Linked DNA regions of Tamandua tetradactyla. The protein of the gene in region 1 interacts with the protein of each later gene in a pairwise test. Links are inferred from orthologs where the notes say so. Each region holds a gene or a part of one and is shown in the gene's direction. Other genes may lie near its edges.

What was found.
Region 2: the proteins of RPIA (region 1) and PCMT1 interact in binary tests that used the Homo sapiens proteins (3 or more experiments, as listed by UniProt). The two-hybrid records come from large-scale screens. The link is inferred for Tamandua tetradactyla from reciprocal best matches to the Homo sapiens genes RPIA and PCMT1.

The regions. Positions count from the first base shown.
Region 1 is NC_135343.1:62,576,102-62,591,868, forward strand, and holds the start of RPIA (ribose-5-phosphate isomerase), read left to right. Parts: upstream 1-8,739; coding exon 8,740-9,027; intron 9,028-12,939; coding exon 12,940-13,000; intron 13,001-14,471; coding exon 14,472-14,527; intron 14,528-15,767. UniProt on the Homo sapiens protein: Catalyzes the reversible conversion of ribose-5-phosphate to ribulose 5-phosphate and participates in the first step of the non-oxidative branch of the pentose phosphate pathway.
Region 2 is NC_135328.1:141,294,488-141,310,254, forward strand, and holds the start of PCMT1 (protein-L-isoaspartate(D-aspartate) O-methyltransferase), read left to right. Parts: upstream 1-6,692; coding exon 6,693-6,906; intron 6,907-15,767. Other genes in the region: nucleoporin Nup43, read right to left, coding at 2,412-2,489, 3,472-3,594, 3,904-4,023. UniProt on the Homo sapiens protein: Initiates the repair of damaged proteins by catalyzing methyl esterification of L-isoaspartyl and D-aspartyl residues produced by spontaneous isomerization and racemization of L-aspartyl and L-asparaginyl residues in aging peptides and proteins.

The DNA.
Region 1 (15,767 bases):
GAAACTGTTGAACTGTGTTTCAGTAGCCTTGATTCTTGAAGACGATTGTATAACTTTGTAGTTTTTACAATAGGACTGATTGTGAAAACCTTGTGTATGATGCTCCTTTTATCCAGGGTATGGACAGATGAGTAAAAAAATAAGGATGAAAATTTAATAAATAACGGTGTGTGTGTGTGCTGGTCTGAAGCTATTGTGTACCACAAAAAAGCTATGTTTTAATTCTGATCCAATCTTTTGGGAATAGCCGTTTTTTAAAATTTTGATTCCATATTGCAGGACAAAAACTTTTAATTAGATTACCTCCACAGAGATGTGGTGCACCCAATTGTGGGTATGACCTTTTGATTAGATGGAGATGTGATTTTCCACCCACTGCAGGTGGGTCTTGATTACTTTCCTGGAATCCTTTAAAAGAGGAAACATGTTGGAGAAACCTTTGAAATGACTGAAGCCTCAAAAATGACAGAGCTGACAGAAACTTCAGAGCAGAGCTGACACAGATGCCGACACTTGGAGAGCAGAGACACAGATGTTTGGAGATGCTTGGAGCCCAGCAAATATTGCCATAAGATGTTAAGTAAGCCAAAACTTGGAGAGAGCCAAGGGAAGCCAAGAGACAAAGGCCAGCTGCAGAGAAGCAAAATGAGGACTGCCAATCCTATCCCCTTCACAGAACAGAGGGTGAAAGCATTCGAGCTCAGAAGCATGGGACCAGCAGATGCCAGCTGTATTGGTTAGGGTTCTCTAGAGAAACAGAATCAACAGAAAACACTCACAAATATAAAATGTACAAAAGTGTCTCACGTAACCATGGGAATGCAGAGTCCAAAATCCGCAGGGCAGGCGGGCCGCGGTGGCTCAGCGGGCAAAGTGCTTGCCTGCTATGCCGGAGGACCTCGGTTCGATTCCCGGCCCCAGCCCATGTAACGAAAACGGAGAAACAAAATACAATAAAACAAGAAAATGTTTAAAAAGATGTTTCCCTTTCTTCCTCTCTTCCTTCCTTCTATCCTTCCTTCCTTCTCTCTGTCTTTCCTTTAAAAAAAAAAAAAAAAAAAAAAAAATCCGCAGGGCAGGTTGTGAAGCTGACGATTCTGATAGAGGGTCTGGATGAACTCCACAGGAGAGGCTCACCGGCCGAAGCAGGAAGAGAGCCCGTGTCTTCTGAATCCTCCTTAAAAGCCTCCCCGTGATTAATTAAGCATCACTCATTGCAGAAGATACTCCCCTTGGCTAATTACAAATGGAATCAGCTGTGGATGCAGCTGACATGACCATGATTTAATTCTATGAAATGTCCTCATTACAACAGACAGAACAGCACTTGACCAACCAGACAAACAAGTACCACCACTTGGCCAGGTTGACACATAAACCTGACTATGACACCAGCCATATGACTACCCAACTGACAGAAGTTATTTCTGACCATTCGGCATTCCTTGAATTAAGGTATATTTTCCTGGATGCCTTAATTTGGATATTTTTATAGACTTAGAACTATAAACTTGTAACTTATTAAATTTCCCTTTTTAGAAGCCATTTCAGTTCTGGTATTGCATTCTGGCAGCTTGCAAACAAATACAGGAAGATAAAGGGTAAAAAAATTGGGTAGATTGAAATACTAGTGGTCAATAAAAGGGAGGGGTAAGGAGTAGGGGATGTATGAGGCTTTTTCTTTTTATTTCTTTCTCTGGAGTGATAAAAATGTTCTAAAAATGATTACAGTGATGAAAACACAATTACGTAATGATACTGAGATCTATTCATTGTATGCTATGTATGTATGTGAAGATTTCTCAATAAAAATAGGTTTTAAAAAAGACAATATAGTGCCCACCAAACTATTAAAACAGAAAAATAAAGACACTGGAAGAACTAGAAAAAGAAGAGCAAACTAAACTCAAAGTGAGCAGAAGGAAGGAAATAACAGAGATTAGAGGAAGGATAAATGTAATGGAAAAATAAAGCAACAGAGGTCATCAACAAAACCAAACAGAAGTTGGTTCCTTGAAAAAATCAATAAAATTGACAAACCTTTAGCAGACTGACAAAGTAAAAAACATAGAAGATACAAATAACTAAAATCAAAAGTGAAACGGGGACATTACTACTGATCCGGCTAAAATAAAAAAGACTATACATGGGTATACTGAACAACTGTTAGCCAATATATTAGATAACCTAAAAGAAATGGTCAAATTGTTAGAAATACATGAACTGCCTACATTGACATCAGAAGAAACAGAAGATCTCAATAAACCAATTAACATTTCAGAGATTGACTCAGTAATCAAAAACCTACCAACAAAGGAAAGGCCAGGACCAAATGGCTTCATTGGGGAAATTTCCAAACATTCCAAGAAGACAACTTCTATTCTTCTCAACCTCTTCCAAAAAATTGAAGAGGATGGAACACTCTCTAATTCATTTTACAAGGCCATCATTACCCTTATACCAAAGCCAGATAAAGATACTACAAAAAAAAGATAAAATTATAGACTAATATCTCTTATGAATATAGATGCAAAAATCCTCAACAAAATACCTGCAAACCAAATCCAACAGCATATTAAAACAATTACACCACCACAACCAGGTGGGAATTATCCTGGTATACAACAGTGCTTTGATATAAGAAAATCAATGAATATAGCACATTAACAAAAAGAATGGGAAAAAACCACATGTACATCTCAGTTGATGCAGAAAATAGGATTAACAAAATCCAGCAGCCCTTCTTGATAAAAGCACTTAGAACATTAGGAGCAGAAGAAGACTTCAACATAATAAAGGACCTAAACAGAAGCCTGTACTAACATCCTACTTAATGGTGAAAGACTGAAAGCTTTACCTCTAAGAACAGGAAGAAGACAAGGATGCCCACTGTCACCACTTTTATTCAACACTGTACTGGAAGTTCTTGATGAAGCAATTAGGCAAGAAAAAGAAATAAAAGGAAACAAAATTAGAAAAAAAAAAAAGTAAAACTATCCCTGCTTGCATATATCCCGATTCTATAAACAGAAAATCCTGAAAAATCCACAACAAAGCTCCTAGAGCTAATAAAACGATGTGTTAGTTAGATTCAGTTGTCAACTTGGCCAGGTGAGCGTACCTAGTTCTGTTGCTGCGGACACAAGCAAATGGTACGTGAACCTCATCTGTTGCCAATTACATATGCAGTCAGCTAGGAGGCGTGTCTGCTGCAATGAGTGATGTTTGACTTAACTGACTTGTGCTTAAATGAGAAAACGCAATGTAGCACAGCTTAAGCAGCTCGGCATTCCTCATCTCAGCACTCGCAGCTCAGTCCAGACCTTTGGAGATGCAGAAAGAAGTCACCCCGGGGAAAGTTGTTGGAACCCAGGGGCCTGGAGAGAAGACCAGCAGAGACCATCCTGTGCCTTCCACGTAAGAAAGAACCTCGGTGGAAAATTAGCTGCCTTTCCTCTGAAGAACCAACAAAATAAATCCCCTTTTATTAAAAGCCAATCTGTCTCTGGTGTGTTGCATTCCGACAGCTAGCAAACTAGAACAAACGAGTTCAGCAAAGTAGCAGGCTACAAGATCAACATCCAAATATCAGTAGTGTTTATATACACAAGCAATGAAAAACTGGGAAAAAAAATTCCATTCACAATAGCAACTAAAAGAATAAAATATCTGGAAATAAATCTAACCAAGGATGTGTAAGACTTGTATGTAGAAAATTACAAAACTTTGCTAAAAGAAATCAAAGGAGAACTAAATAAATGGAAAGACATTCCTTTTTCATGAACGGAAAGGCTAAAACTCATTAAGATATCAATCTTACTCCAAGCAATTTTTACATTCAATGTACTCCCAATCAAAATTTCAATACCCTTCTTTGCAGAGACTGAAAACCCAATCATCATATTTATATGGAAATAAAAACAGGGATGAACACCGAAGGCATCATTTTGAAATAAGCCAGAAACAAAAGGACAAATATTGTGTGATCTCACTGATATGAAATAATTAGAACAAGCAAATTCAGAGTCAGAAGCTAGAATGTAGGGTACCAAGGGACAGGCCCTGAATAGCTAAAGCTATATTGAAAAAGAAGAATGAAGTTGGAGGACTCAATGGTGCAGCCATTGTAGAAGATAGTAGGTGGTTCCTCAGAAAGCTAACCATATAATCTGACAATCACACTTTTAATTTAAGCATATACTCCAAAGAAATGAAAGCAGGCACTCAAACTATTTGCACATCATGTTCACAGTGGCATCAACTGATGAATAAATAAAATGTAGTATATATATATATATATATATATATATAAATGGAAAATTATTCAGTTGCAAAAGGGAATGAAATCCTGATAGACATGACAACATGGTTTAACACTGAAGACAATATGTTGAATGAAATAAGCCAGACACAAAAGGAAAAACATTAAATGATCTCACCGATGTGAAATAATTAGAATAAGCAAACTCATAGAGTTAGAATCTAGAACATAGGTTACCCAGCCCAGTGTGGCAATAGGGAATAGGAAGTTAAAGCTTAAAATATACAGGATTCCTATTTAGAATGACAAAAATATTTTGGTAATGGCCAGTGGCAATGGTGATAAAACTCTGTGAATTTAACTACCAGTACTGAAATATATATCTGCAAGTATTCAAAGGGGAAATGTTGCATTATTACATACGGTAACAGGATAAAAATTAAAAATAAATCCATAGAATAACACTACACAGTAAACCCTACGTTAAACCATGTAATATAGTTAATAGTATGATTATAAAAATGTGCTATCATGTGTAAGAAATGTTCCATCCCAATGCATCCCAATGTGCGATGTTAACATTAGGTGATTTTTAGGGATCCATTATTTTATGCATGATTTTTTTTGTAAACCTACAACTTCTCTAATAAGGGGGAAAAAACTCAAACTACTAAATAAATCAGACAATGGTGTGAGCAGTTATGAGCCATGGAGGCAAGGAACCTCTAGAAGCAGGAGAAAGTGCAGGAACATAGTGTCTCCAGAGGAATGCAACCCTGAGGACATCTTTATTTTTGCCCAGTGAGATATTTCACGCTCTGGCCTCCAGAACTATCAGATTATAAAATTGTGCTATTAGTTTGCACGTAATTTGTTACAGGCATAGTAGGAAACTAAAATTTCATGTATATGAAGGAATTAAGATACAATAAAAGTAGCATTTCAAGTAACAGGTAAAGAACCTATTAGTCAATAGATAGTAAGACAGTTAGCTATTAATCTAATTAAAAAAAATAAAGTCAGATTTCTACCATTCGCAAAATTAAAGTCCAGATGGAGTAAAAGCCTTAACACACAAAAGTATTGGAAGAAAATATGGGAGAATATGTTCATGACTTTGGCAAAGAAATTAGTGATGATTACAATATTAAAATATAAAATGTTTGTATATAAAGCACACTATAAACAAAGTCAAAAGACCAGCAAAAAATGGGAGAAATATATTTGTATTTTTATATTTTATATTAAAAAAATATTTGTTGTTCTCTAACCTTTACTTAGAGAATACTTTGTATGTAGAGAATACAAACTATTTTCTAATTAAAAAAAATTGTTTCCAGACATTGCCAAATATCCCCTGAGGGACCAAATCACTCCCATTTAACAATCCCTATTTTAAAAATATCAAAAGGCAGTATATTAGTTTTCCTGGCAGCTAAAACAAATACCATACAATAGGTCGGCTCAAACATATAAACAAACAAAATTATTGGCTCATGGTTTTGAGGCTAGAAGTCTACAATGATGGAAAAATAATGTTTTCAACAAGGCAATGTTCTCTCCCAGAAGACTGTCATTCTGGGGCTGCCTGCCCTGATCCTTGGTTCTTGGCTTTTCCGTCATTTGGCCATGTCTTGTTTCACCCCTGGATTCTGGGTCCTACTTGTGGCTTTTTCTAAGTCTGAATTTTATTCTGCTTTAAGGAACTCCAGTAATCCAGATTAAAACCCAAACTGATTCAGTTGGCCGCACCTTAACTAAAAATAACACCAGACTGTGGATCAAGACCAACAGCATGTCCAAAGTGGGGTGCACAAATAATCCACCACTGGTAGCTTGACGTATATCTAAGGAATGATCTGCATAGCCCTAAGGAATTGTTCTATACGCATTTTCTTCAGGACCATGGGCTTGGTCAGCCATCAATAAGACTTGGTTTTGATAAAGCAAGCAGCATTATGCTGCTTTCCAGTGATAAGTACAGAGTAAGGCTATAACACTAAAATGTTAACCACGACTCATTCTGATCATTAGGCTCACCAGGAATAATAAGGCCCCAGGCTCTCCCAAGGCCTTAATGGTTGGTCAAAATTATTAGTAGACAATAAACCAGCCCTCACGGAACAAAAGGGCACATGTTGAGGCTCCAAAAGATTATTCCAAGGGTATGGGGTGGGGGTGGGGTAGCTTGAGTTTGTTTCTAAGTTGGTCTAGGTGCTGAATAAACGGGTAATTCAAGCTCTAGCCTGAAGTGAATTTGAGCCAGCACCACTTCAATCTCTCCCAAGATGCTCAAATCCATCCCAACATCTGCTTTGCAGCTTCCTACCGTTTTACCTGTGAATCACCTTCAAAATCAACACTTTGGAGGACAGAAAGAGGGAAGGGAGAGTGAAAGGAGGTGGGAAAGCAGGAAGTGACAGAGTGGGAGAGAGTGAACCTAAGCAATTTGGTCTGTAGTATAATGCTGTAAAACATTCTTTCTCAAATCCTCTCCCAAGAGGTGGGGCAAGACTTCTGATATTCTGATAGACAAGCTAATGAGGGGATAACTATATTGGGAAGGAGGGTTAAAAGGGGGAAGGAATGAAGACATGAATGTGGACAGAGAGAAGGGAGACAAGAAGAAATGAGAAACAAAGTAGCCCAAACAGGTGGACCTTTGTAGGACATTACTCACTTGTGAAGTATTGAGCCATGCACTGTGCATCCTATGGGGAACTGCCTCAAGGGACTGTAGTCCTTTGAGTGAGAAAATCAAGTGAACAGAGCAAGATAATAATGGCAGAGTACAAGGTGTCTGGGGGCACATAGGGAGTACCCAACCCAACGATGGCAGGGTTCATGTTTGCAATGTAGTAACTGAGTGGAGTCTCCAAGAACTCCGGGAGCAAGAAAGGTGTACAGGGTGTGCAAAGACATGGAAGTAAGAGCACAGGTTGTGGAGACGGAAATTCTATATGGCTGAAGGTACAGTGTGGAATAGAGGCATAAAATCTATTTATTATTGCATCATGCCTTAGACATTTATTGAGTGCCATCTACATGTCAGTGTTTAAGGGGACTGAAAGATGCAGTAGGTAAAAGAGAAAAAACCATCTCAGAGATGCTTTTAAAGAGGGAGATAGATGATAAGCAAGTACAAAACCAAAGAAGTGAACAAGGACAGTTTTAGGATAGGTAAAGTGGTAGAGGCTAGGTGGGTGCCCTAATTTAGATGGAGTGGTCAGGAAGATTTCCTTAAGGAAGTGTCAATTTAGCTGCGCCTGACCCACAGGAAGAAGCTGGCAGTGCAAAGATGTGCGGTGGGTGGGGGGGGTGGGGGGGTTGTAAGAAGAGCATTTCAGGTGGTGGGAAGTCCTAGTGAAAGGCTCGGAGGCTAGAGGGTAAAGACTGGACACTAACACTTGATCTACCAACCTCTTCGTATGTGTGCTAAGGACCCAGGGTGCCTGAACGGGGAAAAGACTGGCACCAAGGGCTTTCAGCAAGGTCAAAAGTTTCAACTCTGCAGGGACCCACAGAAGTAGGGTCCAGATATTTTATCCTGCTAATCTCTGAATTCCACCTAAAAGTCAAGAATTTAAACATCGCCTCAAAGAATTTTTCCTTCTGCAGACCAAAGTGGACGACCTGGGGCTGACAGCACAGTAAAGAAAACTGAGGCAATGAGGGCGGCGACAGCGGTCCATACTGGACAAGAGTATGAAGGCGAGTTCATGGGATTTCACCAACAAGGACCAGCAGTACAAAGGCAGAGTCACGTGCTTTTAAGGACCTCCAAGTGGTCGGTATGGTTGCGGAAGCATCAATTTCCTCGCTTGTAAAATAGGGACGGTAACAATTTCCCACCCTTAACTATTTCCTAAGCATCTTAACGATAGAGGAGAGAGAGTTGTTAAATTCAGTTAGTTCTCGAGTCTCCAAGGACTGCAAGTCACACTTGTACTTATGGGCCAACTCCACCAGGGCGAAGCACGCCATGCAACGTCTACGGCAGGAGATTCGGAACATGTGGTCCTGCGCCTGCCGGGTCTGAGGACGGATTTCAGCCGGCGCTGGGGCCTAAGAGCGTCTCCAAATGAGCCACTGCCCTGAGGTCTCGACCACGACAGGTCTTCAGTGCTGGGAAAGCTAATGTGTCCGCTCCAACACGCCTGTCCGCACGGGCGCACAGATCAGAGAGATGCATCCAACAACAAACATATCTTCCCAGGAGAAAGGCAGGCACGACGCTCAGACCACAGCCATCAGGGTCGCACTGCCCGCCTCGGAAGCCGGCAACCGGCGAACTGCGCACCAGCCGCGGAGCACCGTGGGGCTGGTAGTTCCGGTGAGAGCGCGGCTACGGACCGCGGGGCCCCGAGAACTACATTTCCCGGGGAGCCCGGCGCGGCAGTGGGAGCGGGCTATGCGCATGGGCAGACACTGGGCGAGCCAGGGCGGGATCGCGGCGGAGGCGGGAGCTCGGCGTCGGGATGCAGCGCCCCGGGCCCTTCAGCACCCTCTACGGGCGGGTCTTGGCCCCGCTGCCCGGGCGGGCCGGGGGCGCGGCCTCGGGCGGAGGCGCGAGCAGCTGGGGCGCCCCGGGCTTCCACGTGCATCCACTGGGACGCGCGGACTCCCGGCCTCACGGCGGCGCGGGCAGTCCGGGTGCTCGTGGCAGGGGCGGTGGTGGTCGCGTCTTCTCTGCCCCTTCCACGATGTCCAAAGCCGAGGAGGCCAAAAGGCTGGCGGGTCGCGCGGCTGTGGAGAACCACGTGAGGGTGAGCCGCGCGGGGCGCCTGCTCCCAGCTCGGTGGGCTCGTCGTGCGCTCCCTGGGCACGGCCGTTGCACGTGCGCGGGGAGGGGGCGTGCGGTGTCTTCCCCAGCTCTTAGATGTATCGTGGGTTGGGGGCGAGCTCCCCAGAAGTTGAGCTCGCTGAAGGCTCCGTGTTCAGGCCGGCCAACAGTTTGTGAAGTGGAACCTGGTGGTGTCGGGTCTCTGGGACGCGGGCTAGAAGGGACTGGCCGCCTGGGTCAGCAAAGGAAAATGGTCGTATTCTGGGGCTGCCGGCAAGCCTGCGGACGGCTGGCTCGCGAGTCTTTGAAGTTCTTCTTAGTCGATTCCCCGCGTGGCACGTGCCGGCCGGCAGAACCAAGGCTGGAGACCCGGCGCTCGGGCGCTCGAACCTCCCTCCTTGACCCGGCGGGCCCGTGAGGTCTGGCGGGTGCTCTCCCTCAGAGTGAGGTTGTTAGGTGTGAGATCCAGGTGCTGTTAGTGGCGTCTTTCAGCCCGGGTGGATTTATCACCAATTAAGTTAATTATAGTACTTTGCAGCCAAATGGAGTACCTGTGCCCTGTAGTGGCGTTTTTCCTGGCCGTTTTGGCTTTCTCTCACCCCCTGTTTTACTTAGAAAGTGGTACTGGGTTCCCTTGTCTCCCGTAATGATAGTTCTTTACATTTGTCAGCGCTTTGCTGTGTAAAGTGGTTTAGTATTGGGTAAAGCTTGAGCGTTGAAATAGCTTAAGCGGAAAGAACCAGTGTGGTAACCTGTGGAGTGGCCGAAGGTCCCGGAGACCTCAAACGGAGTGACTCCCGTACCTTCGCCTTTCTGGTGTAGCTTATGGCATTCCTGGTTAGTGAGAGGATTTTTTAGGAGAATTCACAGAGATAATGTAATATTTATAATCTGGCCCTCTGTTTGGCTTCATGGCCTCGGATAATAAACTGAAATTTCAGAAGGTTTTGGATACCTTGAATTGGTAGTAGACAGATAAATGAAATCTCTTGGAAGAGAAGCCCTAAGTCTTAAGCTTTCCAGATAACCTGTTTATATTAATATTTGGTGGCATATGCTTCCAGGATCATTGTTTTATAGCTATGTGTTTGGTTAAATGAAAAAACTGCAAGCTGCCTCCTCAGACTAGAACCAGGAAACACTTGCATCTCACCCCACCCCAGTTGTACCCAGTTTCCCTGCCAGCTTCTTTCCTGAGGTACCAAGATCAGCTGAGTTTTGTATGTTCTGCTCTTAATCCTTAGAGTTGTAAAATAGGCTAATCAAAGACAAAGGCCCACACCCCTTAGATTCAGGGTGGAGCCTCCAGCAGTTCCTTGAACACATACCCTGTAAGCTCTTGCTCACTTCAGGGTCTTAAATGTTTCCAGACTGTGTTGCAGTCATCTCCAAGATAAGGATAGTAGATCTCTAGGTTTTAAGGGGTTGTCGTGAGGTGTAATTTGTATCAATATTTATAAAACTTCCTGGTAACTGCCTGCTTTTGGTTTCTACTAATTTTGCCTTAGATTAGCAGGAGGTTGTTCCCTGGATGTTGCCTCCGAACTAAACTTCCTGACGGTTGGTTCCTGACCTTGTCTTTCTGTTTGTGATCAGATTGAGCTGTACTTGCTAGTGGTCTGCCTCTTGTCTGCTAATCGGTGTCTTCCTCCTTTCTTATATGGCTCTGCCTTTGTGAGAGGCCTTTCTTTCCCTTTCTACTCAGGAAGTGCTCTGCCCCTGTCATACAGCCTCCCTATATGAGTCTGTAGCTCATGTCCCTAATATGCCTTCCTTCCATGTTCTCTGGGGTGGGCTCTTGCAAAATGGGATCCCCTTGGTCTCGTCTGGGTAGGTGCTGGTGTGCCTGAGTGTATTGAGGTTTACTTCTGTCAACCAAGAAATAACAAACTAAACTTCAAGGCAATAAAGGCATTCATTTGGGGTCTTAGAATTGCAGTTCGGCACAGATTCACGTAGCAACCGAATCCTGGCCCACCTTGGCATTTCCAGGCAAGGGCTTTCACATGGAAAGATTATGCAGGTTGTTTATGGTCAGTGGATATTTGGGGGTACTCCAGCTATCTTTCAGATTAAATAGTTAACTGAATGTAGTGGAGAGGCTGGAGGGAATTGCCTGAAAATGTAGTGCTGTGTTCCAGTAGCCATGCTTCTTGATGATGATTGAACAATGATACAGCTTTCACAATGAGACTCTGTGAATGTGAAAACCTTATGTCCGATGCTCCTTTTAGCTACTATATCAACAGAAGAGTAGAACATATGGAATAAAAAGAAATAATAGGGGGAACAAATGTTAAAATAAATTCAGTTTGCAATAGTGGTAAATGAAAGCGAGGGGTAAGGGGTATGGTACGTATAGTTTTTTTCTCTATTATCATTTTATTTCTTTTTCTGTTGTCTTTTTATTTCTTTTTCCAAATTGATGCAGATGTACTAAGAAATGATGAATATGCAACTGTGTGATGATATTAAGAATTACTGATTGTATATGTAGAATGGAATGATATTTAAATGTTTTGTTTGTTAATTTTTTTTTAATTAATAAAAAAAGTTAAAAAAATAGTTAACTGAATTCTTTATCTTGTGGTTTGTTTATGGTGTTTGGATATCCTTAGGGTTTTCAGGAACATTGTTGCTGGAGGCCTTGCATGCCCTGATATCTGCTTAAGAGTAACCTCCAGAATGACCTCCCAACATCATTTGAAATCTCTTAGACATAAACACTCTATTTTGTTTTTATTTCTGTTACCAGACAAAGGCAGTGGATTCTTTTGACCATCCTCAAATGACCGATTCCTGAGACACGGGTTTCAAAGAGAGAAAGCGTTTATTACTAGTTGCATAGCAGGAGATCAGGTTGCCTAGTGACCTAAAATCTGTCTCTTGAAGTTTAGGGGCTTCAAGATTTTTTATAGATTCTTCAAGGTTGTATGAGGTCATACAATTTCAAATAGCTGGTTCTAAACAGAAAAGGAGGAGTTGAGCAGATGCAATTTGAAAATGTAAAAGGCTGAAACTATTTAATGGCAAATTTAAATTCATTAGCATTAGGGTCTTATCCCTACAAGTTATTTTAAGAAAATGACCTGATAAAGAGAGTGACCGCTCTTACAATCATGAAGGCACAAGATAAGGGCTTTTGCAATCATTATTAGATATCAGGGCAGCTGAATTACAGTTCAGGGATTTGGGACATTTCCCTCTGTTTATATTAATATTCCAGAAAGTAAAAAAGAATATTGATAAAATGATTTAGGAAATATAATCATCCCTCAAAACCTAACTTCTTGGTTACAATTCTTTTAACACTTTAGACTCTCCCAACTGCCCTGCTGGCTTTGAGGGCCCCCTGGGTGGGGGCCCTGATGTCCCTGAGGTTCCCTGCAAGGCCACCAATGAACATAAAGGTGCAGGTGGTCATTCGCCTGCCTTCTCGTGGAAACTTGAAACCCCAGTTTTCTGTTGTTAGTGTGCAACAGGCTCTGCGTTTTCCTTTCTCTTTTGATTCCCTGCCTGGAATTAGCCAGAACCTTTCCGTGTTTGTCTGCAGGCCATGTCTGTGAGGCGCATATACCTTGTGTGCTGTGTGATGTGAGTGGTTAAGCCGATGATTTTGTCTGGTGTGAAGCAGGGAGGAAGTGGTGATGTTGGCAGTGTCGGAGATGGAGAGGATGGCTCTACTGTTACATTGCCCACTGGTTATCAGGATAAAGTGCAGTGTTGAATCTCAACACTTAAGTTTCTGTAAAATAGTTGTAGTACCTTCCTTGTCCGTTAATGATGAATTGCTGTCCGTCAACTAATTTTCATAGATCTAGGAAATAGGCTGAAGAGGAAGTAAAATTTGATATTAATAATAATTAAAATGTTGTTTTCTCCTCTTTTTTGGCAGGATAACCAAGTCCTGGGAATTGGAAGTGGTTCTACAATTGTCCATGCTGTACAACGAATAGGTGTGTTCCTGTTCTGTCTCCTGAATGCTTGTGTGGAGTGATGGGGAGCTGGGAGCTAGGAAAGGTTGGGGAGGTTGGGGACATAGGTTTAGTACCTGCCCTCCTTGGTTCAGGCAGTGCAGAGTGAGGTCAGTTGAGTGTTTCTGTTCTCTTCTGGAGAGAGGCTTTCCTGGGCCTCTTCAACCAAATTTCAGGGCTGCCCTTGGCCTTGTGGACTCTGCTCACCTGGAGGGGAGAGCTGATTTAGGGTAAGATTTTAACAGAATTCTAATCATCTTTGTGTCACACTGCTATCAGTGGTTCTTTGGGGTCCCAGGGATCCTGAGCTTGCCCACTGAAGTTTGCACGTTCTTCAGGCAATCTCAGCTGACAAATTGAGGACAGATTTGGCGTTTGCCCTGTCCATGACCCTGGGGTGGATATGAGTCTCCTGTTGGTGGCTGGTTCTTTCAGTGCTGACTTCATTCTGATTGGGGCAACTGTGCTTATGAAAGGCTCAGGGATTGTCAGCTTCTGTGGCAGCTCAACTGGTTTTACTGCTCTGCTTTTGTTTGTAAGAACAGAGACCACAGGAAAGCCTGACCTGAATCGTGACCTCTGCTTCTAGCTACCAAGTGGACAGTTCCCTGAACACTTGGTCCTTCAGGAGCGTTTGAGGTGCTGGTGTGATGTCTTCTGGAATCTTCTTATTGGCCAAGAAGGAGCTTTAGTGTTGTATGTCTTTTGACTTTAGTATGCAGAGGCTTTTAGATCATAGGAATTACTGTGAATTTCATAATAGTGGTATCTAAACCTAACCAAAATACACCTCAACAAAAGATAGTTAATAGGGTAGTTTTGAACTTTTTTAAATGACGCTTTCCTGCATGGAACAAATTAATAAAGAGTAAATAAACCTCCTTTAATTACTGTTCTGGGGCCTACAAATGATTATATATTTTTTCACTAACACGGAAGTAAAGCTTTAGTTCCTTGAAAAGGGAAGTAAAGCTTTAGTTCCTTGAAAAGGCCATAGAGGGTACTAGTTAAGATTGATGTTAGATTGCTTGGCATCATAGCCCAGCTCTGCAGACTTACTAGCTGCATAATTAGCAAGTTACTTCACTTTCCCAGTCTTCAGTTTTCTCATCTGTTAAATAGGAACAGTAATCATAACTTACCTTTTGGGTTGTTAGGCTTAAAAGAGTTTGTATGTACAAAGTTCTTAGAATACTGCTTGGACATAATAGTAGCAAACATTATGGTGCACTTTGTGTGGTTAATATTAACCTCCACAGGCATTGTAGAGTTCCTGTCTTGGGCCTGAAGGGCAGTCACCAGCTTTTCACCATGGGTGGGGACACAGAATGAAAGGCAGCTGTCAGTGGGAGACAGACGTTTTCCTCACAGTTGGATTTGAACAGACCTAATGTGATAATAAAAATAAAGTGAAAAGAATGAAAACCCACCAAAACGGCTCCTGTCTCCACAGCTGAAAGAGTCAAGCAAGAGAATCTGAACCTCGTCTGTATTCCCACTTCCTTCCAGGTATGTCCTGCTTTCCGTTCTGCATCGTGGCACAACTGATGCTGAATCTTCTGGTTCCCTGAGGATGTGGACATGGGGCTTTGCATGGTGTACCAGGGTTGTTCTAGATGAGAGAGTCAGAAACAGGAGATTTTATTGACCAGAGTTTGCTCATTGTAAATTTGGTTTTAGATTCATTAGTTTATTTACTCAGTGAACTTTTTTAGTGGCCTTGCATTATTTAGAAGTGACCATGTGGAGTATTTAGAAGTGATCATGTGGTATCTTTCTTCAGGAATACTGTCCTCATTTATAGATGAAAAAACAGGCTAAAAAATTAAATGTTGTTAGTAATGCAATTATAGTATATCAATTCCATGTCTAAAGCTCTTTTGCTGTAAGAGTAGAGACTGATGGGGGAGTGCAGCAGAGCTGGTTAAATAGAGGGAAAAATAAGGGAAGAGTGGACTTAAGGAAGTGGAAGGAATTGAGTCATTCCACCTTTCCTCCCTGGCCATTGTGGGGAAAGATATGTGTACAGTCTCATTGGATTGGTCAAGATGATAATATGAACTGGGAGAGCAGGTTAAACTTGAAGGTATTGCTGCTCCTTGGACTCCGTGGACTTAGTTTTATACAGCCAAGACATCTTCAGAATCCTTCCTAGTCCTGAAGGCTGGAGGAGCTGAGCACTGGCCTGCCACCAAGTCTGGTGAATGGACAAAAGCCATGTGTAGAAATCTAGCCCTTTAGAGTAGGGAGTGGAAGCAGGGGTTCCAGGTAGACTGGACAGGGTTAGGATAGTATATACTGTTAGGGCTCCTTGTGTTAATCCTCTTGGGGACTCTGAGCCAGATGGGTGGGCACCCAGGGGTCGAAGCTACCATAGTTCCTCCTTTGTACAGTAGAAAATGAGCAGTCTTTGCACTGCCTTTTTTGCAGTTGTAATCCTGGTGTCCTGAGGAGACTAAAGTCAGAATGACTTGTGGTGAATTTACTTTGTCCAGCATTTTTATTTGTTATTTAATGTGGTGAATTTTCTTTGCCTTTTGGAAATTGTCTTTTGATTTTCTTAATTTTTTACTTTAAAAATTTTTTTCTTAAATTTTTTATCTTTTAAAGCAGTTTTATTGAGCTAAATTCACATACTGTGAAATCCATCTAATATGTACATTCAGTGTCTTCTAGTATATAAACAGTTGTGCATTCATCATCACAATCAATTCTAGAACATTTTCAATCTGAAGAGGGTTCATTATGT
Region 2 (15,767 bases), on another chromosome or scaffold:
AGAGGCAAGAGGCAGCGGGAAAATATATTTAAAGTGCTGAGAACAAAAACTGCCACCCAAGAATTCTGTACCTGGCAAAACTGTCTTTCAAAAAATAAGGAACAAGGGTAGTTCAGTAGGAGAATTCTCGCCTGCCATGAGGGAGACCCGGGTTCGATTCCTAGCCCATGCACTTCCCCAAAACAAACTAACAAGCAAATAAAAGAAAAGAAAAGAAATAAACAAAAAATTCAACAAATGGTATATCAATAACAGGATACGCACATGGAAAAAGAATGAAATGTGATGCCCACCATACAGCAAACAAAAAAAAAGGAAGGTAAACAAAACCTGAGGGACTTCACCATCACTAGACCAATCTTACAAGAAATGCTAAAGGTAATCTAGCAGGCTGAAAGGAAAGAACAAATAGACAACTGAAGGACGTCACATGAAGAAATAAAGACATGCAAACCAAATAACCCTAAAGAATGGAAGAAAGATCAAAGGTAATGGTGAATATATACAGAGAGATGAGATTTAACAAATGAGAATGATTGCTGAATCATTATATCGATATTTCTTTTAGTCTCCAGTATCTCAGAGCAGCTAGAAGTAAAAACCTAAAGTTGTGGAATTGTAACCCATACCAATCTCTGAAATTTGTTCTTCAATTGTTGCAATGTGCTTGGAAATGTATTGCTTTTTTGTATATATGTTATTTTTCTCAAAAAAGAAAAGTTGATTGTGATGATAAATGCACACAAAAAAAGAAGCGATAATAATAAGAAAAAGAATTGGAAGATTTCCAGATATACAGCAGAGGAAGGGCATTCCAGGCAGAGAAAACAGCATAGATAAAAGCATATCAACCAGAAAAGTACTTTGTATAGAGGAACTGGAAGCAGTTTACAATTAGTAGTGGGGTAGGGCAGATTATGATCTCCCACACAGTACCTTTTTGTAAATAAAGTAGATAATTATTTATTAAAAAAAAAAGATCTGTGGCAAAGACAATGACATGGTTAAATATAAATGTCACTACTATTATATTTATTTCCAACTCTACTTTTTTTTTTAAATTCCTATCAGATCTACAAGGCAAATGCATGAAATGTAATCATAAATCAATGGTTTTGGAATCACAATTCTTTGTGACAAGAACTATATAAAGATGTAGGAGTAAGGGATCCAGGAACACGGTTTATGTATGCTAATGAAGTTAAGTAGGTATTAAGGCAAGCAAGATTATTATAGATTTAAGATGTTAAATTTAAGCCCTATGGTAACCACAAAGAAAATATCAGAGAATATGTAAACTCACAGAGAAAGAAAGTAGAGTACAGGTTATCAGGGATACAGGGTAGGGGCAATGAAGAGTTAAGGCAAAATGAGTACAGGTTTTCTGTGGGGGGGAAACGGAAAGTTATCATAATGGATGGTGGTGAGAGTACACAATATTGTGAATATGATTAATCCCACTGAATGGTAATGTTTGGGAAGCTTTGAATGTGAAGATTTGTTACACAAATACTTCCACAATTAAAAAAAAAAAGAAAAAATTCTGTCTCACATCTTTCTAGAAAAATAATGCTCTCCTTTCTCCTTTGTATTTCAGAGTACTAATGTCTAGAAATTACTCTCATCAAAGCTTCACATACGTTTAATTAGATTCAAAACAAATGTTTCCAATCTTTATGTCAAATAAAGAAATGGTCCTTGGGTATCAAGTAGTTGTGCGTTCAAAAGCAACTCTACATTCTAATGGGAATTAGGCTACATCTAAGAAATAAATCTCAATAGCTCTTTCTAAATGACTCCATTAAGGAAAATACTTAGCCAGATGTGCTACCCATACCCATTAACAATACCTCTATTAACCTCCAAACCTAAATAAGCAACTTCAAACTGTGTTACTGCAAGTGAAGCTATTTTTAACAATTGCCCTCACCATGGAACTGTGAAGGTCAGTACACTTGGGCTTTAGCAAAAAGAAAGACATTGAGAAAAAGTCAGTCTTCAAACAGTGTATCCTCTTCTAATTAAAACCTGGGATCCATCAAGCTAAGCAAAGCAACTGTTCCTTTTCCTTTCTCAAGGCATCTGAGCTGAAAGATACTCTTTTTTTCTTCAAAAGAACTTATAAGGCAGAATTACAGCAAAATTACCTACTGGAATATCACATTTTTAGGTCAAAACTACTAACAGAATTTATTTAACAAGCTAAGGGATATCCAAGTTCAATAAAAGGCCATAGAAAGATAATTCCAGAATCAAACAACCAAAAGTTTTGTAGTAACAGTGGATTTCCCTCCAGCATGTTTTGAGATTGTGAAGTTTAATTATTTGTAATGATTACTAAGCAGTCTTCTGCAAACCTTCCTCCAAATAATTAAAACACAAATGTGGTTTTCAAACAAAAGGTTCTTTACCTTGTTATTCTGATGGTGAAGGAAAACAGTTACACATCCTGTTGATGAAGCTGCTACGATTCTTTCCTGGTCCAAAAACTAAGTAGAAAAATGCTGCTTATTATGGATTCAAAAACATTAGTAGGGAGGAAACCCATTTGTTCAATTCAATCAGTATCAAACTGTATAACAAATTTAAAGAGAGCTCGTGTATGCTAAGCAAATAAAATGCAATAATAGATTTAAGACGCAAAAACTTCTAGACAAATAATACTATTTTCATGAATAATAAATAACAGCATTTTTTCCCTAAACTCCTTTGCTTGCAACTGATTTAATTTTTAGCCATTACAATAAAGATTTAGAAAAATATTTCCAGGGATAGACAGTTTTTTATAGAATAAAATACAGGGATGTTAAAGTTATACAGACTTAATTCTATACTTAATTCCAGCCCTATCACTTACTACTGACTCTTAGACAATGGACAAATAAATTAAGCTCTCCAAGGCTTGTAAACCTTTGAAATGGGAGCGCTTATTTCTTTATGGGGGGGGGGGGGGGGAGAATTCAAAAAGCAAAACCTTGTAAATTGCCTTGCCCAGTGTTTGTCAAAAGGCATATATGCTCAACAGAAGTTCTTGAGCATATAGTTTTCACACTGGTAAAACAAATAACAAAAGTTGATTCACAGACGTGAAACGAGGGTTAAGTTTGTGTAAGCTCCCAAAACAGTGTTTGGCACTTGTTAGCTGGTTAACTGATAAAAAACTGTGATTAAATCTATATTTCCCGCCTGAGTTCTGATTTTGCCACTATATACTTTTATGACGTTAGCAAAATCATTCAGCCCACAGAGGCTGTAACGAAAGGTGAGACTAGAAAAAACTTTAAGGTATTTTTTTTTTTGGTGGGTGAGGGTGTTGCATGGTCCCCAAATCGAACCCGGTCTCGCACATGAAAGGCGAGCATTCTACTACTGAACCACCCGTGTACCTTTTATGATGCTTTTTTTTTTTTTTTTATCTTTAAGTGTATCTCTCAGTTGTTTTAACAATTCGTAGATACTACACAGACTTACCTGCAAATCCATGACATCACCATGGTGTCTGATATCACACAATAACTGATGGTCTCCTCCAAAACCTCCATCAGAGTCCAAGTTTCCAAAATCTCCAATAGACCACAGGGAAACATAATTTTCCTGTAAAGCAGAAAGTTTTGTCTTGAAGCAAAAGAAGCATCAACCCTGGGAAATTAAAATTCGTACGCCCTCAGGCAACCTTGCATCAAAATCACCTCAATAAACAGTAACGGTTAAGTTCAGACCATTAAGAGGTACGACATTCAGGCATTCTATTGCCGGCTCTGAGCACCAGGCAACAGAGCCCGAGATAGTCCCCCGACTCGGAGAAGGTAGGAACAGCTAGCGGGCGAGAACTGGCTCGGGAGGCCGGGCCGCAGATGCAGGGGGCCCAAGTGTGGGGAAAGGCTGTCGCTAGGGTCGAGGTACCTCGTTGTCCCAAGAGCCTGTAGCGAAGGTCTCCGCGGTCTGTAGGCTCCCCGGGGGCACGGGCCTCCAACGGGTTTTGCTGATTTTCTGAGACACAAACTTGGCGTAAAATTCCTCCATGCCAGAAGCAGAAATGGCAAGCACTGCCGCGCGCGCTCTAAGCCCTGTCCTTCACCCTGATTGGATGGGACATAGATGGGATGGTGTCTGAGGAGGGCCAATCTTCCTCCTTGGGCGAAGAAGACCGGATTGGTCCTAGCACCCAAGCTGGCAGGGGTGGCCGGTAGGAAACTATCAACCCAAGCTAGCAGGGGCGGCTCTGACAAGGGTGCCTTACGGTTTTGTGCTGTAGGGTCAGCTCTTAACCGGCAAAATGACTACAGGAAGGCTGAGAGAGTGTATTTGTGCAATAAGTGTGCAATGTAAAATGAATTTTAAGGGCAAAACCAAAATCAGTGCAGGAGAAACCACCTTGTAATGATATCTAAGTATTCAGTTGCACTTCACCGCGTATAGAAATACGCAAGATCCTTACCGTTCTCACGGAGGTACCTCTACTAATGCACCAACTTATTATCAAAACCTCTCCCTCTTTGCCCCCAAACAAATCTTTTGTTTCACATTTGTTAATAACACATTGTCAGAGTCCGGCGTTGGAATTCTTAAGACTCTAGGTCTAATTTGCAGCCCATTGCCTAGCTGTAACCCTGGTCAATTCATTTACGTATTAATAAAGAATGAATATGGTGATATCGAAAGTCAACAGCCTAGGAATTAGTTTTCTAGGTTCCTTCTCCTGTGCCTTTAGTTATACCTATAACATCCATTCTTCTTCCTTTCCCAGAATCTTGCTCACCTTTCAAGCATTAGTTCCTTCAGCTATCTTTTCCTGATTACCACAGTCCATGATGATCTATATAAACATAGCACTGGTTATCTACAGCACTGATGGTACTTATATTTTGCTTTCTATTGCTAGTTTTCCTTTGGCACAGATCTCCTCAATTAGAACGTAAATCCAATTTCATACAAGAGGTGTAAATTCTTCATCTTTTTATCTCCTTTACATTATAGGTATTCATAACTGTATCTCCTGTTTTTTTAGAACGCCGATGATACTTTCTTGCTCTTATTTTTATCTGGTAGTCCTATTCGACAACTACAGCTTATGGAATCACCACATGTGAATTCAATCCACCCAGGCCAGCTTTAGAGAGTTATCAGGTTCCTATCAATGACTTGACATTTTTTTCCCCTAACAAGAAGACCATCAGGAAGTTGCAGAGAGCAAGGCAAACTATTAGAATTCCAAACTGACCATTTTATTTCTAATATTCAAGTAGAGCACACTGTTTTGAGTGTTTATGATCACATGATGCCAGAAAAAAAGGTAAGGTCTAAGTATATTTCAGGTTGGAAATCAGATTCATGTCACATTTAGCAAAGTCTGTTAAGAATTAGAACCTGAACAATGAAACTGGCACAGTAGTATAGATGTCTCGGTATAGCTTTGCTTCCTTCCTTAAAAGTGTACTGGACCAAGTGATGGTTGGGTTCTACTAGCCTCGGTTCTGATTAGGAGTCAGCATTTTTTTTTCCATACTCAGAATATTTATTAGATAGTACCCCATGGGGCCTGCAGGAGAAGGGTACCAGACTGCACTCCTTCCCCTTTTGCAAGCCACCCCCCTGAATCAAGGGTCAGGATTCTAAGGGAATCAGATGTCTCAAATAAGTAAGAATGTATCTGGGGGGAAAAAGATCATTCATTCCCCACACCTGACAATACAATTATATGTGTTTCCCAGGAAGAGAGGGTGCCAGTGAGAGTGATGAATAGATGAGATGAAGAGAAACAGAATGGGCCCTTCTTTGTCACAGCCTGGGCTTGGAGAAGGACTGGAGTAAACAAGTATTATAAAGGAAAGGAAATGAGAGAAAAGATGGAGGTCAGGGGTTGGGTTCACTTAGATCACACAGCTTTGTAGAAAAAACCTAAGCAGCAACTTGAGTTCTCAGGTTGGGACAGGGAGTTGTGGGCTCATCACTTGGAGAAAGGAGAATCCAAGGGGCTGTCTTCCAATCAGACTGTGATTAGATACAGGAGTCAGCATTTTGTCTGAGACAGGCAATGTTCCCTGACAGCTTCTCGCTCATCGTCTGCAGAGCTGATAGCAACAAAGTCGGTGCCCAGTCTAACGGTGGAATTTGTGAGTCTTCAGCATACTGTGGGATTTTTAACCAATTGTAGATCTTCAAATGTGCGTTGTTTCAAGGGGCAAAACACCCAATCCCTACATCCTTTATCATGATATAATTTTCTGTCTGAATTTGTGCTTTAGAAGTGACAACAAACGAGGATAGCAAGCTTTCTGCTAACCAGCGCTGTCCCAAGCCCGAGTCAGATCCTACAGACTCCACCATCCGGAGCTGGGGTTCTACCCTAGCTACTGGGCTGGGTGAGGCAGGGCGGGGGAAGCCCACCGCTTAACAACGTGGACAGTTATAGGAGCAGCCCCGTGGCTCGCAACAGCTGACCGAGAGGCGACTGCGGAACTACCAGTGACCGTGGTGAAGCAGACCGGCCGCAAAATCGCTCTGCACTGGGACAAGAGCGAGGGTCTCCAGGATCGACCAGAGGAAAGCCCGAGGAAAGGCGATGCGCAGCGAGAGACTCGGGAGATTGCACCACCCATCCAGCCTCGGGGGAGTCCTGGGAAGGCGCCTCCTCGGCCCCACCCGGCCCCGCCCAGAGCGCGGCGTCACAGGGCGCATGCGTGCCCCGGGGCATGCCGGGAGCGCGCAGTGGCGGCAGCAGCGGCGGCGGCTCCGGCGGAGACGCGGGCGGGGTGGTGACCGTGTGGGAGGTGGTGTCACTCCTGGGGAAGCTGCTGGGCACCGTCGCCGCGCTGAAGGTGGTTCTGTACCTGCTCCGGGTGTGCCTAGCGATGGCCTGGAAATCCGGCGGCGCCAGCCACTCGGAGCTCATCCACAATCTCCGCAGTAAGTGCCGCCTCCACCGCACCGGCGGCCGGGCCTGGACTGACCCCGGTCCGGCCGCGACGTTGTGTCCCCCTGCTGCGGAGGGCCTCAGCTCCCTAACTGCTAGTGTGTGCGACCTCCCCCCGCCTCCTCCGACGAAGACCTGTCACTTAACGGCGACGTGGAGGAGAGGTGGGGGCGTGGAGGGCCGGGTGGCCCAGGTGGGGCGGAGGCTGTCCGCGGAGTCAGCCGCCTGCTGTCTTGAGTCCCGCGGCGGGGGGCGTTCGTTGGGGTAAGATGGTATTGCCAGGCTTCCGGAAGCTGGGCAGGACTGAGGGGACCCCAGCCTTGCCCCCCGCATTTTCTCGCTTTCCTTCTGCTCTAAAGTCGACCTCATTGCAAGCTTTCCCTCCTGTTCTGCCTCCCCCGCCCTCTGCTTTTTCCCCTGGAGGAAGATGCCACCGTCTGATATAGGCGAGGGGAGGGAGAGGAAGATGAGAATATTGCCGTAGAAGAGGCTGGGAGAAATTTCTCGGGCGTCTGCCCAGTGCAGTGCTTTGTGAGGGGTGGAGGATGAGAGAGGGCATGCTGTTTTTGCTAGACTTGTATTCAGGACCCTTTAGGGGTCCTGGGACCCAGCAAACGATTGTGTGTGTGTGTGTGTGTGTGTGTGTGTGTGTGTGTGTGTGTGAATATTCTAACTTTTTTCAGGAGTATCATATGCTTTAACAACCTTGTATGGAAGTTTCTTTATACCATTCTCTTTATTCTTTCTTCTGAAGATAATTTTAGGGTGGGATGAATGCTGTGTCACTTTCTTTTTTTAAGTTGAAATATCGTGTCGCCGTCTGTTCGCAAGATCCGCAGGACTGCTGTCCATAATGATCTCATTCTAATCAGAGCTTATAGCACTCTCTTTGCCGCTTATTTTGCAAATAATCATATTTTGTCACGTGGTATTTTTAATTGTCATGTTATTTAACTTTTCATGTGTTTGTCATATCTCCCAACTCTCTAATCTTCTTGAGGATTTCTAATCCTCTCAAATAACTTAATACTCATAACATTTCCTAAAAATACCAATTAAATATCTCTTATATGCTTAGTTTTATGGTGGGAATACAAAGATGAATGAGGGAAGTATTTAATACTGTCCTGCACATGCTTGGTATTTAATATTAGTCATTGACCTTTGTTTGGCAGTACTTAGAATGTAGAAATTGTCTTAGTGTTTAGCAAAGAATTAATAGATTTCAAAATTCTGTCATTGTCAATTCTCAGTTTATGAAAGGATAGTTAATTGGAAATAGTGAAAATGCTGAGACAGTCATGTGGTGAAGGTTCCCATGATTGCGTATATGTTCAATATATCGTAAATACATTTATAAAATTGCTTAATGTGCTCCAGGTGCTTATTATTGCAGTGTACACACCTTAAATATTCTATATATAAATTGTGATTAAGTATTTTTCCCAAAGTAGGTTATCCCAGTAGACAGTTGGCTGTGGCAGAAATTTGTAATTGGGCTCTTAAAATCTCTCCTTTTTGGGCGTCAAATTTGTGCTAAGCCAAGACTAACTCTTTTCCCAGTGAGTTTACTATCATTTTGATGTATCAATTACTGTTCTTAGCTGAAAAGTCTAAGATGTTTTTCTGTCAAAAAATTTATTTAATATGCATGGATGTTAAAATTGCAGATATTTAGTTTGATACTTAGATCTGTGGTTTCTAAAGGAATTAGAGTACTCAAGTTGCTTAACCTCTTTTGTAACACTCCTGCAACTTCAGTTTCAACTTCTTGCTGAGGTAATTTTAGCTAATAGATTTCTTTTTTATTGTTATAAAAGTAATATTTGTTCATGTGAAAATTTCAGTTTGTGCGAAATTGAAAATTCCACCTTCCTGGTTATTTCACTGTTCCTAAAAATCCTTTGAAAGGTATGAACATTTGATTATGTTGATGTTGAAGTGAAAAAGGATCTGCAAATTAGAAATGGGAACGAATTAAGGAAATTACAATTTTAATGGTTTTTCAAAGGAAATGAGATTCATAATGAATTGTTTTATTACTTGTTCTTGTTTACTAGCTGCCCAAATGCAATGTACCAGAAATGGAATGGCTTTTAAAAAAGGAAATTTAATAAGTTGCTAGTTTACAGTTCTAGTGCTGAGAAAATGTCCCAATTAAAAAAAGTTTATAGAAATGTCCAATCTAAGGAATCCAGGGAAAGATACCTTGCTTCAAGAAGACTGATGAAGTTCAGGGTTTCTTTCTGAAGTGGAAAGGCATGTGATGAACACGGAGTCATCTGCTAGCTTGGTCTCCTGGCTTCCTGTTTCCTGAAGCTTCCTGAGAGGCATTTTCCTTCTCCATTTCCAAGGTTACTGGCTGGTGGGCTCTCTGCTTCTCGTGGCTATGTTGTTCTGCTCTCTCTTAGAATCTCTCTCATTCTCTAAAATGTTTCCTCTTTTATAGGATTCCAGTAAACTAATCAAGACCCACCCAAATGGGCAGAGACACTTCCACCTAATCCAGCTTAACAACCACTGTTGATTAAATCACATCTCCAGGGAGATGATCTAATTACAGTTTCAAGCATACAATGCTGAATAAGGATTAGAAGAAACGATTACCTTTACAAAATGGGATTAGGATTAAAACATGGCTTTTCTAGGATACATACATCATGTCAAAGCAGCACAATACTTTTATACTAATTTATTGAAAATATTTACTGTTATTTTTAATTATAAGACATCATAGTAAAAACATAGTTTTAAATGACCTAGACTGGAATGGTTACTATCTTAATATCTTAGTTTATATTATAATGAGAACTCTGTCACTGAGCTACCATGGCCCGCCTAATGAAATTGCTTTTTAGTAACTTGGAACAGTGGTTCTAAAACTTGAGTATCTTCAAAATTTTCAGAATCACCTGGAGAGCTTGTTAAAAGCAAATCACTAGTGCCCAACAATTTATATTTCTACTAAGTTTCCAAGTGATGCTGATTCTGCTGGTCCAGGAACCACTGTCTTTGAGAAATGAAAATGACATTAAACTTTGCCACCATTTTAGTGGAATCTTTTTTTTTTCCTGCATTTTTCACCTTTTTATTCATAAGTTCCCCAGGCTGTAAACATATTCTGTTTTTTTAAATGATCATTAAAATACTTCAGTGTTTATTCAGGACCAATCCAATAATAGAACTTTTCCCCAGTGAAAGCATACAAAAAAAATTGTATTAAGGCTGTCCAAACAATTTGAATGAATTTAATGGTTACTTTATGGGGTGGATTTTCAAAACAACATCTTTCATCAGAATGCTAAAGTTTGGTGGGAAAGTATAGACCCACATTTTTTAAAACTGGTTTCTTCCTTCATTTATTCAGTAATTTTTAATTTTTTTTATTGTAAAAATTAACATATACCCAAAAAGCAATAAATATCAGAGCACACCACAACACTGAGTTGTAGAACAGATTTCAGAGATTTACTTCTACCTGCTCCAAGACATGGGAGATTAAAAGAAGTATCAATATAATGATTCAGTAGACATACTCATTTGTTAAATCCTACCTTTTCTATTGTAACTCCACCTTCCCCTTTGGTCTTTGTCCCAATTTTTAGGGGTATTTGGGCTGTGCCCATTCTAACTTTTTCATGTTGGAAAGAGCTGTTGATAATAAGGGATGGAAGACGGAACTAGTTGATGTTCTGAAGAGGCTTGCCCCTCTGGGTTTCAGGATTTAATTGGCCTGGGAACCCACCTGGAAGCTGTAGATTTCCGGAAAGTTATCTTAGTGCATGGAACCTTTGTAGAGTCTCAGATAAAGCCCTAGGTGTTCTTTAGGGTTGGCAGGAATGGTTTTGGTTGGGGGTCACCAAACCATGATAAATAGCAATGTCTAGCTGAAGCTTGCTTACAAGTAGCCTCCAGAGTAGCCTCTCAATGCTATTTGAACTCCCTCAGCCAATGGTACCTTATTTGTTACAGTTCTTTTCCCCTTTTGGTCAGGAAGGCAATGTCAATCCCATGGTACCAGGGCCAGTTCATCCGTGGGAGTCAGCTCCCACCTTACAAAGCAGAATTTCATCCCTGGATGTCATGTCCTACGTAGGGGGGACAGGAATGATTTCACTTGCTGAGGTGGACTTAGAGAGAGGGGGGGCCACATCTGAGCAACAAAAGAGGTCTTCTGTAAGTAACTCAGTCATACCTATAGGTAGGCTAAGCTCTACACTACATAAATAAGCTTCAGAAGAGCAAGCCTCAAGATCAAGGTTTTGGCCTACTGACTTGGGAGTTCCTAATGTTTAAGACATTATCAGGGGTTTCCCCAGTAGTAAAGTTTAATAGTTTCATATTTTTTCTCCCATTGCTCAAGGGATTTTGACAATACCTTTTAACTATCTGTTCAACATACTCTGGGATATATCCAGACATTACATAAAGTTATATGGGTTTACAAGCCTTCATTTCCATTCTGGGCTCCCTGTGTTTGGGTTGTTTATATGATCTATAAAGGTAGATTGAATAGGATTACGCGCTACAGAAAATTTAGATTCTGGACAAAATAAACTTCTCTTCCTTTAGTCTCATAGAGTAGATAAAGTTCTAAATTCAGACAATTAGACTCACATTTGATGGCATAAATATTTCAAAATGTTGAAACTGTTTTTTTCCCAAGTCTTTCTGTTTGAAATTTGTACCAGAAATTGATATGAAAATAAATTATAAAACAGGAGAAAATGTATGTTTTGAATGACAACAGTTTCACTGCCTTATAATCATTTCTTTAGCATAGATTAAAAATCTTTTTATACCCTTGGTTCCAAGATCATGCATTTCTCTTTTTTTTTAAATTAATTTATTTAAGTAAAAAAAATTAACAAACGAACTAAAACATTGACATGTGATCATTCCATTCTACATATATAATCAGTAATTCACAATATCATCACTTAGTTGCATATTCATCATTTCTTAGAACGTTTGCATCAATTCAGAAAAAGAAATAAAAAGACAACAGGAAAAGAAATAAAACAAAAACAGAAAAAAAAAGATTATACATACCATGCCCCAACCCCTGACGTTCATTAATCACTAGCATTTCAAACTAAATTTATTTTAACATTTGTTCCCCGATTATTTATTTATTTATTTAATTTTATTTTTTATTAATTAAAAAAATTGTAAGAAAGAAATGCAAACATCCTTAATATATACTCATTCCGTTCTACATATATAATCAGTAATTCACATATCATCACATAGTTGCATAATCATCATCATGATCATTTCTTGGAACGTTTGCATCTCTTCAGAAAAAGAAATAAAACGAACACAGAAAAAAAATTTATACATACCATACCCCATACCCTCCCTTTCATTGGTCACTAGCATTTCAAACTGAATTTATTTTAACATTTGTTCCCCCACAAATGTCCATTTGTGTCCTTGGCCTCGTGTCCTTTGAGTAGAGACAGCATATAGATGGGTCCTGTTTTTTAATCCATTCTACCAGACTATGTCTTTTGATTGGAGAGTTGAATCCATTAACATTCAGTGTTATTACTGCATGGGTAGTACTTTCTTCTCCTATTTTGCCTTCTGGATTTTATATGTCCTATCTAATTTTCCTTCTTTTTACCTTTACTCATAGTCTTCCTTTCTACACTCTTGTCCACACCTCTCTCTTCTGTCTTCGTATCTGTCTCTAGTGTTCCCTTTAGTATTTCTTGCAGAGCTGGTCTCTTGGTCACAAATTCTCTCAGTGATTTTTTTTTTTTTCACAATCACACAGTCACACTGTGAAAGCTTTATCATTATACAATCATCTTCAAGAAACATGGCTACTGGAACACAGCTCTACATCTTCAGGCAGGTAGCTCCAGGCTGTCCATTACATCTTTAAAAAAATTTTTTTTTATTATATTGTTTGAAATACCAAAAAACACCAAACAAACGCAAACATTCCTGTTTTGATCATTCCGTTCTACATATATAACCAGTAATTCACAATATCATCACATAGTTGCATATTCATCATCATGATCATTTCTTGGAACATTTGCATCTATTCAGAAAAAAATGAAACGAAAACAGAAAAAAAATTTATACATACCATACCCCTTTCATTGATCACTAGTATTTCAAACTAAATTTATTTTAACATTTGTTTCCCCTATTATTTATTTTTATTCCATATGTTCTACTCCTCTGTTGACAATGTAGAAAAAAGGAGCATCGGGCACAAGGTTTTCACAATCACACAGTCACACTGTGAAAGCTTTATCATTATACAATCATTTTCAAGAAACATGGCTACTGGAACACAGCTCTACATCTTCAGGCAGGTACCTCCAGCCTCTCCATTACATCTTGAATAACAAGGTGATATCTACTTAAAGCGTAAGAATAACTTTTGGAATCTCTCAGCCATTGACACTTTATTTTGTCTCATTTCCCTCTTCCCCCTTTTGGTCGAGAAAGTTTTCTCAATCCCTAGATGCTAAGTTTCAGCTCATTCTAGGGTTTTTCTCAATCCCTTAATGCTGAGTCATTAATTAATGCTGCATTAATGCTGAGTCCCTTAATGCAGATATATAATTATTGTCATACCCCAAGCCTCACTCTAGGATCTCTGTCCCACGTTGCCAGGAAGGTCCACACCCCTGGGAGTCATGTCCCACACAGAGAGGGGGAGGGTGGTGAGACTGCTCCTCATGTTGGCTAGAGGGAGAGGCCACATCTGAGCAACAAAAGAGGCTCTCTTGGGGGTGACTCTTAGGCCTAAATTTTAAGTAGACTTGACCTATCTTTTGTGGGGTTAAGTTTCATATGAACAAACCCCAAGACTGGGGACTCAGCCTATAGCTTTGGTTGTCCCCACTGCTTTTGAGAATATCAGGAATTCAACTTGGGGAAGTTGAATTTCTCCCCACTCTCACCATTCCCCGAAGGGGGCTTTGCAAATACTTTTCCACTCAGTGATCGAATCACTCTGGGATTCCTTGGACAAACCAACAAAATCTCATGTCCTACCTGAGATTCCAAGTACTTATGGTGTTCAATCAGACTATCTACATAAGTTATATTAGCAAATGCACTAGTCAAAATATAAATTTTGTAACAAACATTTTTTGCTTTAGTCTCACACATAAGGTGACATTTTAAAATATTAATTACCATCTATTTTCAGCACCCCGCAATAATGACATTCCTTTGTTTTTCCTCATGCAGAAACATTTTTAAAATTTGTACATTTAGTCACTATTATTATACACTATAGGCATTCCTAGATTATACCATCTCAATCTTCAACATCTACCTTTCTTTCTGATTTCATTTATGTCCCCAGCCCTTCTCCCTCTATCATTCTCACATGCAGCTTCATTCAGTGTTTTAACATAATTACATTACAGTTAGGTAGTATTGTGCTGTTCATTTCTGAGTTTTTGTAGCATTAATTTTTTAAAGAACAACTTTGAGATATAATCTACCTACCATGCAATTCACCCATTTAAAGTGTACAATTCCATGGTCTTTTCAGTATATTCATAAAGTTCTGCAACCATCACCATAATCAATTTAGGGTATTTTCATCACCTCAAAGAAAAACACCTGTACCCAACAGCAGTCACTCCCCAGTACCCCCACCCCACGGCTAGTGCTAAACAACCACTAATCTGCTTTCTGTCTCTACAGATTTCCCTATGATGGACACTCCACATAAAGGAAATCATGCAAAAATATAGTCCTCTGATTCTGGCTTCTTTCACTCAGCAAAAAGTTTCAAGATTCATCTTTGCAGCATGGTATTAGTATTTCATTCACTTCTATTGCCAAATAATATTCCATTGTACGGATATGCCACATCGAGTTGATTGATTTGATTAATTCTTGGACTTTTAAGTTGCTTCCACCTCTTGGCTACTGTAAATAGTCCTGCTGTGAACATTTTTGCACAAGGTTTTGCATGGTCATGTGTTTTCATTCCTCTTGGGTATACACTAGAAGTGGAACTGCTGGGTTATATGGTAACTCGATATTTAACTTTTTGAGGAACTACCAGACTGTTTTCCAAAGGGGCTGCACCCATTTTTCCACATCCTAGGCAATACTTACTATTTGTCTATTAAATCAAAGCCATCCTCGTGGGTGTGAAGTAGTACCTCATTCTGGTTTTGATTTGCCTTTCTTAAGGATGCTTAAAGATGTTGAACATCTTGTCATATTCTAACCGGACATTGGTATATCTTGTTTGGAGAAATATCTATTCAGATGTTTTGCCCAGTTCAATCAAGTCATTTCCCTTGCGTTACTGAGCTGTAGGAGTTCTTTATATATTATATATATATATCTCTATAACAGAGATATAGATATATCTCTGTTAGCAGATATATAATTATTGTCATGCCCCAAGCCCCAGATGAGTATCTTGCCCCTATCAGGCACTCAATAAATATTTGCAGGAATCAACACTGACAATCTCCCAGGCACTCTGTTCGGGGCTGGGCACACGCTATTGCTCTCCAGAGGCTCATCTTCTAGTTGGGGAGACAGACATAAAAGGTAGGCAAGCAAATAACTACAAATCCTGGTAAGCCGTGAAGATAGAAGGGGAAGTGGAGCGTGCATGAGAATGGAGCTGAGGGATGCGTCTCTGAAACGTGATGTGAGCGAGGTGAAAAGGTTGAAAGCGGGTGAAAAGTATACGAGCAGTAGAGAACTGCAGGTCCCAAGGTCCCAAAGAGCTGAGGAGAAGGCTTGTTCCAAGAACGGAAGGAAAGAAGTCCCAGAGAGCTGGGGCACAAGCGTGCCAGGGCTTCGGAGCCTACGAGGACCCTGGACTCGATGCAAAACGCAGCAGGGA